Linked DNA regions of Struthio camelus. The protein of the gene in region 2 interacts with the protein of the main gene of each other region in a biochemical or structural test. Links are inferred from orthologs where the notes say so. Each region holds a gene or a part of one and is shown on either strand. Other genes may lie near its edges.

Region 1 (7,148 bases), on a different chromosome or scaffold from region 2:
GAGGGCGCTGACGGGACAGGGACGGAGGCGCTCAGCGGGATGCCGCAGGTGCCCGGGCAGCTCTGGCTGCACCTCGCCGGCGGCTCCCAGCCTCCCGCGCGCTCCCGCGGGACTCGGCGGGGTTGAAAGCCGGAGGAGGACAGAGGTAAGGGGGTCTCCGGCGCCCGAGAGGGGCCCGACGACCCGGGGCCGGCTGGCGGCAGCGGCGGGGCGAGCCGGGAGGGGGCTCAGCGGCGTTATCCCCCGCCGGAGCGTCTGCGAGGCCGGAGGGGCACCCGGACGGCGCCGGAGCCGGCGGGAGCCCCCTCGGGCCCGTGCAGGCTCCTCTGCGGGCGCCGGCCCCGGGCCGGGCGCTGCCGCCGGATCCTCCTCCCCGTCCCCGAGCAACGGCCCGTCAGGCGAGTCTTTCTTGAGCCCTGGCTGCTCCTGTTCGTCTGGCGGACCTGGGAAATCCCTCTTTCGCGCTTGCCGGAGCGCTGGCCTCCCCGACGTCCTGCGGCGACGGACCGCGCAGGCTAAACGCGGGCCGGGCGCAAGGGATTTCCTTTCGTCGCTGGGCGGGAAGCGTGTTCAGCAGCTTTCATTTTCACTGCCTGTCCCCCCGTGACGGAGAGCGGCCGGGCAGGGCAGAGCCCAGCTGCCGTCCTCCTCCTCCTCCTCCTGCTGCTGCCGCCGCCGGGGATTTCACAAAAACGGGACCGGGCGCAGGAGTGCGATCCCCCCCCGGCGGGGCCGCAGCAGCCTGGGCACAACCTGCTACGAGACGCCGGAGAGTCCGCACAGCCCCGCGGCAGCCTCGAGGGCCGCCTGCCCGGCGCCGCGCTCCGCTGGCTCCCGGCTGCAGCGGTGCCGGGGCCGCGGGCTCCCCGTCGGCGCCGGGGCCTCTCGCGGGGCCGTTCGCGGGCGGCGCTGAGCGCCCCCCGCCCGGCCCAGCGCCCTCGGCCCGGCAGACGGCGGCTCCTCCGTAACGAGTGTTTTTTACTCAAGCTGTGCTTATGGGGCTGGAAAAACATCCATGGGGCTGGAAAGAGCTGAGCCCTCACTAACTCATGAAATTGGGGGGAATAATAGCGCCGGAGGTGAGGACAAGGCACAAAAGCAGTTCCTATGACAACCCCGAATCCCCAAACTGTTTATCCTCTTTAATAAAAATCTGCAATAACCGTGAAACCAGCGAACAGGATTCAATACGTACTACACGAAATGAGTAACAGCGTAAAGCACGTAACCATTTTACTTCCGCTCCGTTCCTTGCTTCCCCGTGAAAATCCTGCCCTGATAAACAGAGAGCGGAGAAGGGGCAGGTTGGCGGGGTCGCGTCGCCGTCCCTGGCCGGTGGGACGCCCGCAGGAGCCCGGCCGAGGCGATGCCGCCCGCGCTGGCGCGCAGGAGACGGGCCAGCTGGCTGCAGAGAGCCAGCAGCGGCGGTGCGGGACCAGGGACCGGCAGCAGCGGTGGTGCGGGACCAGGGAGTGGTGGCAGCGGCGGTGCGGGACCGGGGACCGGCAGCAGCGGTGGTGCGGGACCAGGGAGTGGTGGCAGCGGCAATGCGGGACCGGGGATCGGCGCAGCGGCGGTGCGGGGCCGGGGACCAGGGGCAGCAGCGGTGTGGGGCCGGGGACCGGCAGCAGCAGCGGTGCGGGGCCGGGGACCGGCGGCAGCGGCGGTGCGGGACCGGGGACCACCGGCGGCAGCAGTGCAGGGCCGCGGCCAGAGCGCGGATATCCCCGTGGGTATCGCCGGGTGCCCTGGCCCGTCTGGCACCGTGCAAACACGGAAAGGCCAACCGGGGCGGCCCTACCCCAAAAAACATGCCCCTTTCGACATGCCTATTTGGCGGCGAGGCTGTCGGCTGCCCGCTCCGGCGGTCCGGGTGCGGGAGCCGAACGGCCCCGCGGGGACCGGCGCTCGGCGGGGGGCACCTGCGGCAGGCGGCTCCCCACGAGCCAGCTGGGCGCGTTCAGCTCTCCAGCTAGCGTTTGCATCCCGAAACGTCGCCTGAATAGCGCGGTGCGATTGGGGCGGGCGCTGGCTGCGCGGCGTCCTCGGCCTCTCTGCCTCCGGTCCCTCTCCCCGCGGGAGCGCAGCCCGGATAAATCAGCAGGAGCCGGTAGAGATCCGCGTGGCTTTTCCTAGGGGCGCTCAAAGCACCCCCCGGGACCCTCCCAACCTTTCCGAAATCCCCTCAGAGCGTCTCAGCGCCCGGCCGGGGCCCTGCTTGTGCCGTCGGATGCCAGCGCTGCTGCGCGGCGGCGGCCTGGCGCGGGACATGTCCCACGTCTCCGGGGACGGGGCTTCCTGGGGAGCCCCCAGGGAAAGGGGACGAGGATGGGGACTTACGAGGATGGGGACGGGGACGGCGCCGGTGCAGCCCCGGGGGCGATCCAAAGCGCGGGCGGCGTCTCGGGTGGACGCCAGGTCTCGGGGACAGAAGCAGCCACTAAAGCGGGACCCGGCTGCATCAGCCTGCGCCGTCAGCCGGCTGCGAGGGACGAGGCTGGACTCTCCCGGCCCGTTCGTTCACCCGCTCCCCCCCGCCGCAGTGCCGATAACACCGTCCCGGAGGGAGCGGACCAAGGGTAAACGCCCGGTCCGGCTCTGCGCAGCGTTCACACCGGCCCTCCCCACGCCCGGCTTGGGGCAAAACCGCCCCGCATCGGCACCAAATCCCCGCGCCCGCTGCCCCCCGGCCGCCCCAGCCCCCCGGCCCGGCCGCGCTCCTACCTGCTCGGCCGCTTGTTTGTGCTTTCACTGCCGGCACACCCGGGCTGCTGGCTTAAAGGATTTTCCCACAATAACCACCAAATCCCTCTCCCGGGCACTAAGCCGCAGCCCTGCGCCCTTTCCCAGGTGCACAGCGCTCCCAGCCCGCCGCTCGCTGCTTTCCATATGCTTTCATCACGCTGGATTTTCCCCCTCCCGACCCAGCCCAATGCTGAAAAACGCCCTAAATCGGATTTCGTTGCCCCGTGCGGGCGAGGTGTCTCCCCGCTCTCGCTCTCAGCCGCCGGTTTTACATACGCTGCTCGCAGTCCTCGCTGGGGCGTGCGGCACGCAGCCACTGCCGGCGTCCTCGGGGCGGCCCGCGGCCAGGACGCGGCGCTGGCGGCCGCCGGCACGGGGCACTCCGGCCCGCGCTTCGCGCCAGCTGCTGACCTGCCCGGGGAACCGGTCGCCGCTCATCGAGGCCGCGGCCCAGCTTCTGCCACTGCCCCGCGGGGCTCGGGGGCTCGGCTGGGTCCGGGCTCGCGGCCGGAGCTCGGGACCGCGGCGCCGGGGCCCCCGCCCTGCTCCTGCCTTTGCAAACGTCCCCGCGCTGCGCCCGCGGCCGGGGCGCTGCATGCAGGACTCGGCGCTGCCACTGAGAAAAGAAATGTCCCCAAAGCGTGCCCAGGTGTTAAGACATGTCCCCTGCGACACGCATGCAAATGGGTTTCGTAAGCGGCTTCCCTCCCCGGCAGCGCTCTGCCCGTCGGCAGGATCTCTCTGCTCGCAGATAAACCCCCGGTACCTAGATGCACACGCAGACGCTGCACGCTGTCTTGTTTCACTTCTCTATTTTGATTTCACAGAAAAAAAAAAAGAAAAAAAAAACAGAGAAAGGAAATTGGAAGTTGGCATCTGCAAACAGCTTTCAAGGGGCGCAGGCAGCAGCGACGGGCCGAAGCGCAAGGTTTCCCGGCCCGGAAACGTGCTCAGCCCAGCGGCAGGCGCCGTGCCTGGCGGCGGGGAGGCCGAGCCGGCCAGGCGCTCCGTCCCCGGCCGCGGAGGCGCGCGGCGGCCGCGTGCTCCCAGCTTCGAGCTGCTCGGCTCCGGCAGCTGCCGCCGGCGGCGTGGGGAAGCGCCAATGCCCGGGACTCGACCGGCCGCGCGCCCGGCCGCTGGGGCGGCTTCGCAGACGCCTTATTAAAGGCGATGCATCGCCGGGGCTGAGCGCGGCGGGGCCGGAGGGGCAGCCAGCAAGGGCCCGCGGCGCCAGGACAGCGCCGAGCCGCCTGGGGCCACAAAGTGCCCCTGAAAGGGGCCGAGAGGGGCCAGCCGGGCCCCTCTGCCGCTTCTTCCTCGCGTCCCGCAGAAAAGGTCCTCGCTTCGTCCCCCGGCACGGGCCCGCGGCCGGGCGTCGCGGCTGGGGACCAGGCTTTACCGCGCAGCTAGCCGGATGCTGGCGTACTCGGTGCCGGGGGCGCCGGGGCTGCGCGCCCGCCGCGGGGCCGCCGGCAGGTGCCGCAGGTCGGCGTAGTGAACGTCGGCGTCCGGCCCGCCGGCCCGCTGCAACGGCGAGAGCCGCGCGTGGGTGAGGCCGTCGCGAGGGAACCGTGCACAAAGGAGCCCGCGGGCGCCTTCGGCAACGCGGCCGCCCCTCGGCCCGGCGGCCGCCGCCGCTGCCCCCCGAACCGCCCCGGAGCCGCCGCGTCCCCAAACCCCCTTGGCAAAGGCTCTTCCCTCGCCTTCGCCTCCCGCTCCTACCTGGCCGGGCGGAGGTGAGGTCTCGGCGTCCGGCACGCGGCTGCTGGGGGAGAAGGACTGCCGTTAGCGCTGCCAGCAGCCGCCCCCCCCGGCCCGCGGGGCTCCCGGCGGCCCCCGGCCCATCCCGGGCGCCAGCTGGCGGGTTTTACCGCCGGGCTGACGCGGACGGGAGCGACGCAGCGCAGCGACGCGCCGACGAATGCAAGCTCTTTTCCGGGGGGGGGAAAAACCCAAGTCTCCGAAGCGGGTGCAAACCTGGAGGCAGATGGAGAAGGCAGAGTTTCCTCGCGGCGGCAGGCGGCGGGTGCCAACCCGGGGCTGCCGGGGCTGCCCCCTGCCAAGCGAAGGAGAGGAGGGGTGAGCGGGGCGCGCGGCAGCCCCCAGCGCCCGGCCAGCCCGCCCGGCGCCCCGCTCACCTCCCCTCTTCCGCTGGTAGACGCACAGGGCGACGAGGAGGACGAGGAGGAGGATGGAGAGCGCCGCGGCGGCGACGGCCACGCTGGGAAACGGGGCCCTCTCTGCGGGGACACGAGCCTCAGCGGCGGGCGCCGGCACGGTGCCGGGGCGGGGGGCCGCGGGGGCGCCGACTCACCGTGCACCGACACCGTCGTGCCGGGCCCCGAGCAATAAACCTGCTCCTCCGACCCGGGCCGAAGCTTCACGCAGTAATAGGTGCCGGCGTCCTCGGGGCGGGCGTCGCTGATGTGGATGGTGAAGTCTGTGTTGGAGCCGTTCGCCGCCCTCGTGACGCGGGGGAAGGAGCTTTTCTGATCGTAAATGGTCCGGTTCTTGCCGTCCGAGGGCTTCAGCCACCTCACGGGTCCCGCTCCAGCGTGCTCCGAGACGGCGCAGCGCAGCGTGAGCGTCTGCCCCACGGACACGGACACCTCGGCCTGCGGCTGCTGCAGCTGGACGCGCGCGGCCGCCCGGGCGCCGGCACCTGCAGCGGGGCCGAGTGAGCGCCCCAGGCAGCCGCCGGCTGCCCTCGCTCGCACCGGCCCGGGCAGAGCCCCCGCAGCCGCCTGGCGCCTGCGCGGCGCTTTCGCTGAGCGCTATCAGGGACGAACTGCCCCAAGTGGGGCTGGCGGAGGGCAGGCGCAAAGCGGACGGCGGGGGGAGATCCTTCGCCCCCCCCAACCCGGGGGGCTGCTTGCCGCGAGATGCTGCAGGTGCTCCGGGTCTACAGAGGCAGACGAAGGAGCAACGCCGGGGAGGAAGAGCCAGGACGCGCCGCGAACCACCAGCGCGAGCAGGCAGCGTTTATCGGGCAGCCGGCCCCGAGCCCGCAGGCGGCCCGCAGCCTTTCCCGGCCCTCGGGATTTGGCTCTCCGTGCAGCCCGGCTCCTGCCTCCAAACCCCCCGGGCACCCCGCGCGCCCCTCGCCGCCCGGCCCCGGGCGAAACGGCAGAGATGCTGCAGCCCGGCAGCGCCGGGACGCCGGCAGAGACGTGCGCCTCCCTCGCCCCCGGGGAACGGCACGCAGCCCTGCAGCCCCCGGCAGCGAGGCTGTCCCCTGCCGCGCGATGCGTCCCTCGGGACAGAGGGCACGGAGCGGCGGGGCCGGGCGGCGGGCAGCGCCGGGGCGCTGCGCCCTACTCACCCGCCAGCGGGGCCGGGCACAGGCTGAGCAGCTGCACGAGGAGGGGAGGCACGGCGGCCGCCCGCAGAGCCATCGGCGCCACCGAAAGTTTCAGCTCCAACTTCAGGAGAAGGAAAATGAGAAGCTGCACAGGAAATGGAAGCGAGTGGGCGCGGGCGGTTAACGCTTTTGGTGCCTGCCTGGCTGCGTGCCGGACCCGGGCGCCGGGAGGCAGCGCCGGCCGGGAGCAGAGCAGGGCTTAACCCCTCAGATGCATCATCCGAGGTCGAAGCGCTTCTGCGCGCACCGCAGCCTGCCCGCACGGAGCTTGCTGCAGGGGCGGCCGGCGCCGGGAGCAGCCGCGGCCGGGGCAGGGGAGCGCCTCTGCCGGAGCCTGCAGCCGAGGCGCAGCGCGAGGAAGGCGGCCGCCTCGGGACAGGCTGCACGTTTCAGAGCTGCGCGCGAGATTTCCCGGCCTGCAGGGAGGAGCGGCAGCGAGAGGAGCCCGCGCGGCGGGCAGGCGAAGCTTGCACCACGCCGCCGTCCCCTCTGCCCAGGCCCCTCTACCCAGACACCGCGCGGGGCGGCAGGCGCCCACGGCCCCCGGCGGCGGCGGGCGCAGGGCGGCTCGCGGGGCTGCAGACCCGCCGCAGCGCCGCTTCGTGGGACGGCGGCTCTGCAGCCCCGACGGCTGGCAAGCACGCAACCTCGTGACGTGTCAAGGCGAAAACGATTTGGAAACCTTCCGGCCTTGCATGGAGGTGGCAGAGGAACTTCGCCTGCTGTCGTGACCTTCCTTCCCCATTTGCGATAAGTCCTCCCCGAGCCCCCGAGCCGGCTGAGCCGAGCCGAGCCGGTCGGGAGCGGGACGCGGGTCTTGCCATGGCTGCGGCCACGCCGGCGCTGGCTCTCGCCTGCCTGGTGCTGCTGCTGCTCTGCAGAGCCACGGGTGAGTGTCGGGCACGGGGCCACCTCGGCGCCCCGCTCTCCTGCATCCTTCCCTGGCCGCCGGCAGAACCGTCCTTCCCCTGCGCCTGACCATATTCGGGGCTCTCCCCTCACCTTCTCCCCTTGCTCCTTGCTTTTATCCCCAGTGGAAGAG
Region 2 (7,794 bases):
CATATATTTTGCCTTGATACAGTCTCACAAAAGAAACAGCACAAGCATCAGTACACAGGGTGAACCAAGCATTAAATAATGTATTTGGGGATATGATAGATTTGGAGGGGAGAAGCTGATAGTATCTTTCCCACACTTTCACCCTGAAAATTTTACTTCCATTAGAAAAAAAAAAAGTGACAAATTTTGGAACGGTTTCTAAGAGTTTTAAAAACAGATAGGATTCAGGACACATCTTTGGGTGTTTGAGTTTACATCCAGAAACGTATAAAAAGATAGAGGGAAACTTACTGGAATCAGCTCTACAGATTTGTTATATGGCAATGTTCTATTAACCTCAATTAACGTATCATCCCCAGTGTCTTACCCTAACCCCAATGCACCTGGCAGTAACCATACTTCATTGGTTAGAATGATGCAAAATAACAAAATATATATATATTTTAACACACAGAGGGGAACACAAATAACTTGTACTTAGAAGACAGATTACAGAGATGACAAATTGCTATCAAAAAAGAAAAGAAAAGGTGTTCTCACCCCCACATACACAGGCACTCCTACTGAAGATGGCAAAAAGTTAAAGTGTAGAACAAGAAAAGCTACATCTGGGAGACTGACTGAGTTTATTGCACTTTATGTAACTTTTGTTCTAATGGTAACTTGTACTCCTGCTCCCTCATCCTTGTATTTTTGGCTCTGAGTAGGAAGATGCATTTGTCAGCCACCCCAAATAGAAAAATGGGGGTGTTAGTGATCTCTGTTAAATGGTTCCGGACCAGTGATCAAGATCACTTCATTTGAAGTACTGCCATCACATGTGCTTTGGAACCTTGGTGGCTACATCCCTTCCAAAACTGGAGGGGAGAGCAAAGGGGATTGCAGGCACAGATAGCAGTAACATAAGCCCTGCAGAGGACTTTCTCTTACACTTCCTTTTATAGGGATGGAATGCACTTTAGACCTTTTTCTACCTTCCTTCTTCAACCTCTGTTCTGAGCAGGTGCAGAAGCTATCCCTAGCAAAGAACATGACAGCCAAGAAAGTAGCATACATACACACTCTAATTAAGCTAGCTGTCCTCACTACGCATGAGATACTACTTAGAGCAATTCTGATGCAGGGGTTGCAGCCGCATACCATGCCGAGTCACTTGTTTTACAGTGAGATGAAAGTGTTAGAAGAGTAACTAGTGAAAGAGAGATCTCATTTACAAGAATAAAGGGATATCACCTAAAAGAACTATTTCAAAGAACTATGACATGTCAGGAAACATAGCCTTGCTACAAATTAATTTTAAGGGAAAAAAAAAAAAGTTGCACCTTGGATAGTCAAGAAAAAAAAAATCAGCAGATTGTGTATTTTAAAAGTCATACATTGCCAACATATTTTTCTTTAGTGAGAGAAACAGCATAAACAGCATAGAGGAGAGGGAAGAGCAGAAAGGACAGTAGATGAAAGGAAAAAAGTTTACCAGATTAAGGCAGAAAAGAAAGTAAACTTTTCCATGCCGTGATTTACCTTTTCTAACCATGTTTTCAAGAATGCACAAGATTAAACCAGTTCTGAGCCTTGGCTGGCACAACCGTGGCATTCACAGAGATGGTGACCGGTAGTTTAATTAATCCTATTTATAGGCTCATCAGCTTATATTTCTAACCCTTTTCTTGGTCTCCTTCACAAGTTACAATTTAAACTTCTAAGAAGAAGAGGATTGCACCTGCTGATGAGAAGGTAGCAACTATTTCTAAAAAGGCATCCGTACACATATTTTAACACGTAAGTGGGGACAATCAGAAAACACATGCACTAAAGATCCTCCACGCGTTTCAGGAGTCCCAAAATCAACTCCAAATGGCCACAAACTGAAAACCAACCAGGCTAGTTTTACCATCTTAGGCAGAAGAAAGAGGACAAGTAAACGTTGAAGAAATTACTCTTTAATAGATATTGTTTGAAAATACACATCATGTTTCAGAACAGGTCTATTAGATAAGAACATAAGTATTGTAGCCCTTTTTATCACAGTCACTCTGCTGGAATCTAACATTTACCTTAAACTCTCAGTCCAAAACAGACAGCTAAAATAAGACCAACACCAAAACACATTAAGGATAGGTTACAAGCGAAAATAAAGAGAATAAATTCAACCAAAGTTTATCATCCTAATTTAGCAATACCACAAGGATCTGAAATTAGACTGAATGCTGCTAATAAACCAAGAGCCTCGACCAGGTCAGCTCATCAGCGCTCACTGCAAACCGGCTCGTGCTGCAGTTTCAGCAGCGCCAGGGCACGGAGGGTAACGCGCCTCTCCCCGCCCTCGGCCCCCAGCCCGGCAACTGACCGCGTCACCGCGGCGATAAAACTCACCTTTCGGCCGGGTTCAAAGGCACGGGGAGGGGGCTGCAAACGCCACTGCTACCGGCGGCAGCGCCAGCCTCTGCACGGCGGGCGACGGGACCCGAGGCCAGCCGCGCCCCCCCCCCCAGCCCCGGGGGGCCCCCCCGTGCCGAGATGCCGGGCAGGGCGAAACGCGGCGGGGGCCAGGCCCGGACCCGCGCAGCGGCCGCACTGGGGCCACCCCGCCGCGGTCTGTCGGGGAAGCGGCTGCAGGCAGCGGGGCTGGGGGGGGGAGGGGGGGCCTGGCCGAGGCGGCGACGGAGCCCGGCGGCCCCCGCCACGGCGGGCGCTGAGGGGCCGCGGCCCCGCGGAGAGGCAGCCCCCAACCCTCTTCCCCCACCCCCCCACCTTCCGCCGCCAGGCTCGGCACCGCTCCCCGCCCCGCCTCACCTCCGCGATGTCATTTTCTCCCACGGCGCCGGCGGGTCGCGGTGCAGCCCGGCCGCCCCCGCCTCGACGGCCGCCTCTCACATGGGGGCCGCGGCCTAGGGGCGCCCTGAGGGGGAGCGCGAACAACAGCCGCCTCCAGGCCCCGAAGGCGCACAGAGCGCGGCGCAGCCCTCACGCGTCATCAACCCGCGCCACCGACTCCACCCCCCCCCCCCGGGGCGTCCGCCGGCTCCCTAAAAGGGAGCGCTCGCCCCCTCCCCCCCCCGGGGTGGCTGTGCGGAGCCCCGTTCCCCGGGAGCGCCTTCGGGGGGGGGGGGGGGATGCGATGTCCGAGGACAGAAAGTAGATGCGACTTCGCGGGCTGCGGCACCCCGGAGCCGCCGAGGCCGCCCCCTCCGCCCCCCGGCCGCCGCCTGCCCTTGCCCCTCCCGCTGTCCCCCCCTCCTCGGCCACCTGGGAGACCCCGGCCGCTCCCGGCCTCCCCGGACTACAAGTCCCGGCGTGCTCCGCGGCCGCCGCGCTGACGTCAGGCGCTGCGCTGGCTTTAGGGCGCGGTGGCCCGGATGTGAGTCCCTTTCCCTCCCCGGAAGGTAAGAATGGCGGAGCGGCGGCGGGCAGGGCCGGGACCCGGCGGGCCTTATCTGCCGCCATCTGCCTTCGGCAGGCTGCTCTGGGCCCGGGGGTCTGGCCGGGTGCCCTCGGGGGGCGCGGGTGAGGGCTGACGGGGGCTGGGGAGGAGGAGGGGGGGGCGGTGGGAGGGCCAGCTGTCTGCGGCTAGGCCGCGGCGGAGCGCGGAGGTTGGGACGGGCCGCGGCCGGCAGGGACGGAGCTGGCGGGAGGCGCTGGGACCCGGCCGGGAGACGGAGCCCTGCAGGCCCTGGTGCAGGGCTGCGCCGGGGCCCGGGGAGAGCAGGCGTAGCCCCGTGATGTGGCCGTGCGCGGCGGGTCCGGCTGGGGCCCGCCCTGCGGGTGGGGCTCGGCAGCCTTCCCCGGGGCCCGAGCTCTGGGGGAGTCCCGAGCACCGTGTGGCTGCGACCTCATCGTGCGTGTGCCTCTTCTTGGGCTTTCTGGATTCGAGGGTTTGGATGTATCGAGGGAATGGGTAGCTGGTGTAATTAGTGCAGAAGAGCCTTTTGCGTTGTGGGCCAACAGGCAGCAAACAGGATGGTTTTTGACTCCATGGTGTCTTGATTTGCTGTAAAAGGTGCCTGAGAAATAGTGGAATGGTTTAAAGGTTTTATTTCCAATCCTTGTCTTTTGCAATGTTAATGTTTTCTCTGCGTGCCTCATAATACACAAAAATTTCCATTTTACTTGGGTCCACAGATGGCGGGTGAGAAGAAGGCAGGTGATAAAAAGGCAGGTGAGAGTAAACCAGGTGAGAAGAAGGCAAGCCAGAAGAAAATACGCGAGAAGACAAGGAAGCCTAAGAAGCATCATGCCAGCCGCAACCCTGTACTGGCCCGGGGAATCGGGAGGTATTCCCGGTCAGCTATGTATGCCAGAAAAGCAATGTACAAGCGCAAGTACACTGCTCCAGAAACAAAGGTAGATGGACAAGAAATACCGTGTTTAAATAAGCGTACTGTCTGATAGCTTTTCAGAGTGACTTTGGTTTGAAATGTTCTTTGCGTTCCCTTTTTCTCTGCCTACAGATAGAAAAGAAAAAGAAAGAAAAGCCACCGGCAACCATCACCAAACCAGTTGGTGGAGATAAGAATGGAGGCAGCCGTGTGGTTAAAGTCCGCAAAATGGTAAGAACGTGCCAGGGAAAAAGCTTGCTCTCAGCAGATGATGAGTTGTGCTGATGAACTCAGATGCTCGCAGTTAAGGCTGCTATGGGCTGTTATGTGTACTGTGTTTGTGTAAATCTCGTCTAGACGATGTGCATCTTGGATAGCGTAACCTAGCAGTCCTAGTGCACCCAGCAAGAGCTTCAACCCCTGCCATGTAACAGTGAACAGTTTCCAGTTATCTCCTTGGGATAACAGCTCTATTGATTCTAGTTCCCTGGAGACATGCCTGTAATTCAAAGCTTGATTAGCAGGCAAGAGCGGGTCATCTTCTGCCATCTGTATTGCTGCACTGAATTGGAAGAATGCTTAGAAAAACAGCGTTGGTCTTAATTTTTGCAGCTATGTAACTTGAAAGAAAATACTCAGTATTTTCCTGAAGTGCCATAAGCAGCAAAAGGTATCTTTCAGAAAGATCATCTTTGGGGTAATAATTGAAATTGTAGTGAAAGCTGGCTATCCCATGGGATATGGGGTGGTTAAAATATTTTGCTCCTTTTTTTCTAGCCAAGATACTATCCAACTGAGGATGTTCCTCGCAAACTTTTGAGTCATGGCAAAAAGCCCTTTTGTCAACACAAGAGGAAGCTGCGTGCCTCTATTACTCCAGGAACTGTTCTGATCCTTCTGACTGGTCGTCATAGAGGCAAGGTAACCTGGAACTTCTTCCATGTTCTTGTCATGGCTCTCATGGTGGCTTTGCAGCAGTTTTGTGCTGAAATCTCTTTGAATAAGCAGAGGCAACTCGAATGTACCAGTTGATTTCATGGGATGCTGTTCCAGCCCCCAGAAGAAAGGAATTTGCAACTCTAATTAGGTTCTGTGAACTCTGTAGAGATGGCTTTCTCCTGTCCTGCCTTTAAGGGAAATAGTCTCTAAAGAAATGTCCTACTATACAAAGCTGGAAATAAGACAGGCTAATCCAGTTGTTCTGACAAGGTTAAGGGAGTCTTGCTGTAATGCAAAAAGTGTGTAGATTCGTGTTACACTAATTTTGGGTTGCATAATAGCAGATTTAATGCCTGTTTTTATTACTGTAGCAGCGAGGCCAAAAGTTTGTCTTTGACCAGCTATTGCAAAGAAAGAATTGAATTTTTATTCCTAATCTGAATTGTGAAGATAACACTCGATTGTTACATTAAGCTGTGTTGCATGTCTTAATGACGTTTACTAGCAGGTCTTAACTGACACCCTTTATTTCCTTGCGTTCTTCAGCTTCACTGTCACATCACTTAAAAGAATGCTGTTCAGGGAAGGAAACCTAGCATCCTAGATCAGAAAGAGATAAAATCCCAGTGTGGGACAGGTCTGATGATATATTGTGATCCCCTTCTGTTTTTTTTAATCTAGTTCTTGCCTTTACTTGGGTCCTCAGAGAAGCTGAGTGACAGTTTTGCTGTCTCACCATACTGTAGAATGTGCAGGAATAGGCAAAAGATCTGACAATGTACTAATTGGCTTTGCTCAGTATTAAATGGTGAAGCATATAGAGAGCTGCAGTCTGTCACAGATGCAGTAACGCTGGCAGAATTGCCCTTTGTGAAACATTTATAGCGTGGCTTATGTGGATGGCTGCCCCTCATGTAGTATAGTTACATCTGTGCCTCGATGCTTTGTCAATGCATGTACCAGTAATATGGGCTGAGTGTAGACACGGTCCCAGTTTGGTTGCAGTATTTCCCAAGCATCAAAGAAGATGTAATGCTTGGACCTGAGGACTAATGTCACATCTCTTTTCAGCGTGTGGTCTTCTTGAAGCAGCTTGCTACTGGCCTGTTGCTTGTTACAGGTAAGAAACTTTTTTTTAGTCAAATCCGTTTTTAGTCCAACTTTGTTTCTGGTATCGGTAGTGTTGGAGACTGCTATATGGATGGTTTGGCAAGGTATGTGTTCATCTGACTATGTGGAATCATGTTTGTGAATCTTGGGGAGGTGGAAAGTTTGAAAATCTGGAATAGATCAGGAAGCATCTTTCAGCCTTTTGGTCAGCCATGGAGAAGGGCTTTGACTGTTCAGATTTTAACTGTGAGCATCTCCGTAAAACTTATACGCCACAGAACTTCAACCTTAGAAGTGGTGGCTGTTGCCAAAAAAGATGACCTTTTGTATCTTTTCTTTCTTTTGCCTTTAGGACCCTTGGTTATCAACCGTGTTCCTCTGCGTAGGGCCCATCAGAAATTTGTTATCGCTACATCTACCAAGGTTGATATCACTGGAGTGAGAATTCCCAAACATCTTACTGATGCATACTTTAAGAAGAAGAGGCTGCGTAAGCCCAAGCACCAGGAAGGCGAGATCTTTGACACTGAAAAAGAAGTAAGGAATTCAGTTGATCGTTCTTTGCACGTGTCCTTGTTACTTAAAGCCAGGCTGGAAGGGGGAAAATTTTGTGAAACAAACGGACAATTTTAATTTTCATTTAAGTGGTCTTCAGTAAAGTGAGGTAATGCCATTAAAATGAATTAATAGGGCACTCTCTTGCTTCTACCTTTAGCAGAATAGCAGCCATGGTTAATCTAATTGAATATTGGTGGGTTTTGTTTGTTTGCGAAACACCTTTGCTATTTTGATGTTGCCAACAGTGTGCTGCTGGCTCTGATCATCTGTAACCTAAGCCAAACGGTGGCTTCAGTCCCCTCTGCCATCTCCGGTCTCCTACCACCTTTCCCATATTTAGAACAAATGCAGAGAAGCTTTCTTGAGGTGCCAAGAGCTCAGGGCTTGCATTGAACTCTTAGCTCCAGAGATGAGTCTGAAGTCATTCTGCAAGTATTTTAATATTATTCCGTGTTCTTTCTAGAAATATGAGATAACGGAGCAACGCAAGTCAGACCAGAAGGCAGTGGATTCACAGATCCTGGCAAGAATCAAGAAGGTGCCTCAGCTCCGTGGGTACCTGCGGTCTACATTTTCTCTCTCAAATGGAGTTTATCCTCACAAATTGGTGTTCTAATTGTTCTGAAAACACCGCATTAAATTTGAGGGGAAAAATGCAAGAATTTCTGGTGTCTTCATTGCAGTTCACAGTAGTGTGTGCTGTGCAAATCCTACGTGCAGATCCTCTAAAGAATAGGAAAACTGTGGTGTGAAGTAGTGAGACACTGTAGGTAACCAGCGTTTTGAGTGGATGAGATTTTGCTAGTTAGCATAAACAGTAAAGAATGAGCAGTTGAATTTCAGATTCCTTAACTATGAATAAGTTCCCGAT

The links. The genes of interacting proteins can lie anywhere in the genome.
Region 1: the proteins of PTPN11 (region 2) and tyrosine-protein phosphatase non-receptor type substrate 1-like form a complex in vitro, tested with the Homo sapiens proteins (2 studies listed by BioGRID). The link is inferred for Struthio camelus from reciprocal best matches to the Homo sapiens genes PTPN11 and SIRPA.

The regions. Positions count from the first base shown.
Region 1 is NC_090959.1:18,179,334-18,186,481, forward strand, and holds the start of tyrosine-protein phosphatase non-receptor type substrate 1-like, read right to left. Parts: upstream 3,068-7,148; 5' UTR 3,022-3,067; intron 1-3,021. Other genes in the region: signal-regulatory protein beta-1-like, read left to right, coding at 6,929-6,995. UniProt on the Homo sapiens protein: Immunoglobulin-like cell surface receptor for CD47. Acts as docking protein and induces translocation of PTPN6, PTPN11 and other binding partners from the cytosol to the plasma membrane.
Region 2 is NC_090958.1:18,559,181-18,566,974, reverse strand, and holds the start of PTPN11 (tyrosine-protein phosphatase non-receptor type 11), read right to left. Parts: upstream 3,005-7,794; 5' UTR 2,808-3,004; coding exon 2,794-2,807; intron 1-2,793. Other genes in the region: RPL6 (large ribosomal subunit protein eL6), read left to right, coding at 4,120-4,341, 4,449-4,547, 5,094-5,237, 6,327-6,375, 6,718-6,902, 7,387-7,539. UniProt on the Homo sapiens protein: Acts downstream of various receptor and cytoplasmic protein tyrosine kinases to participate in the signal transduction from the cell surface to the nucleus. Positively regulates MAPK signal transduction pathway. Dephosphorylates GAB1, ARHGAP35 and EGFR.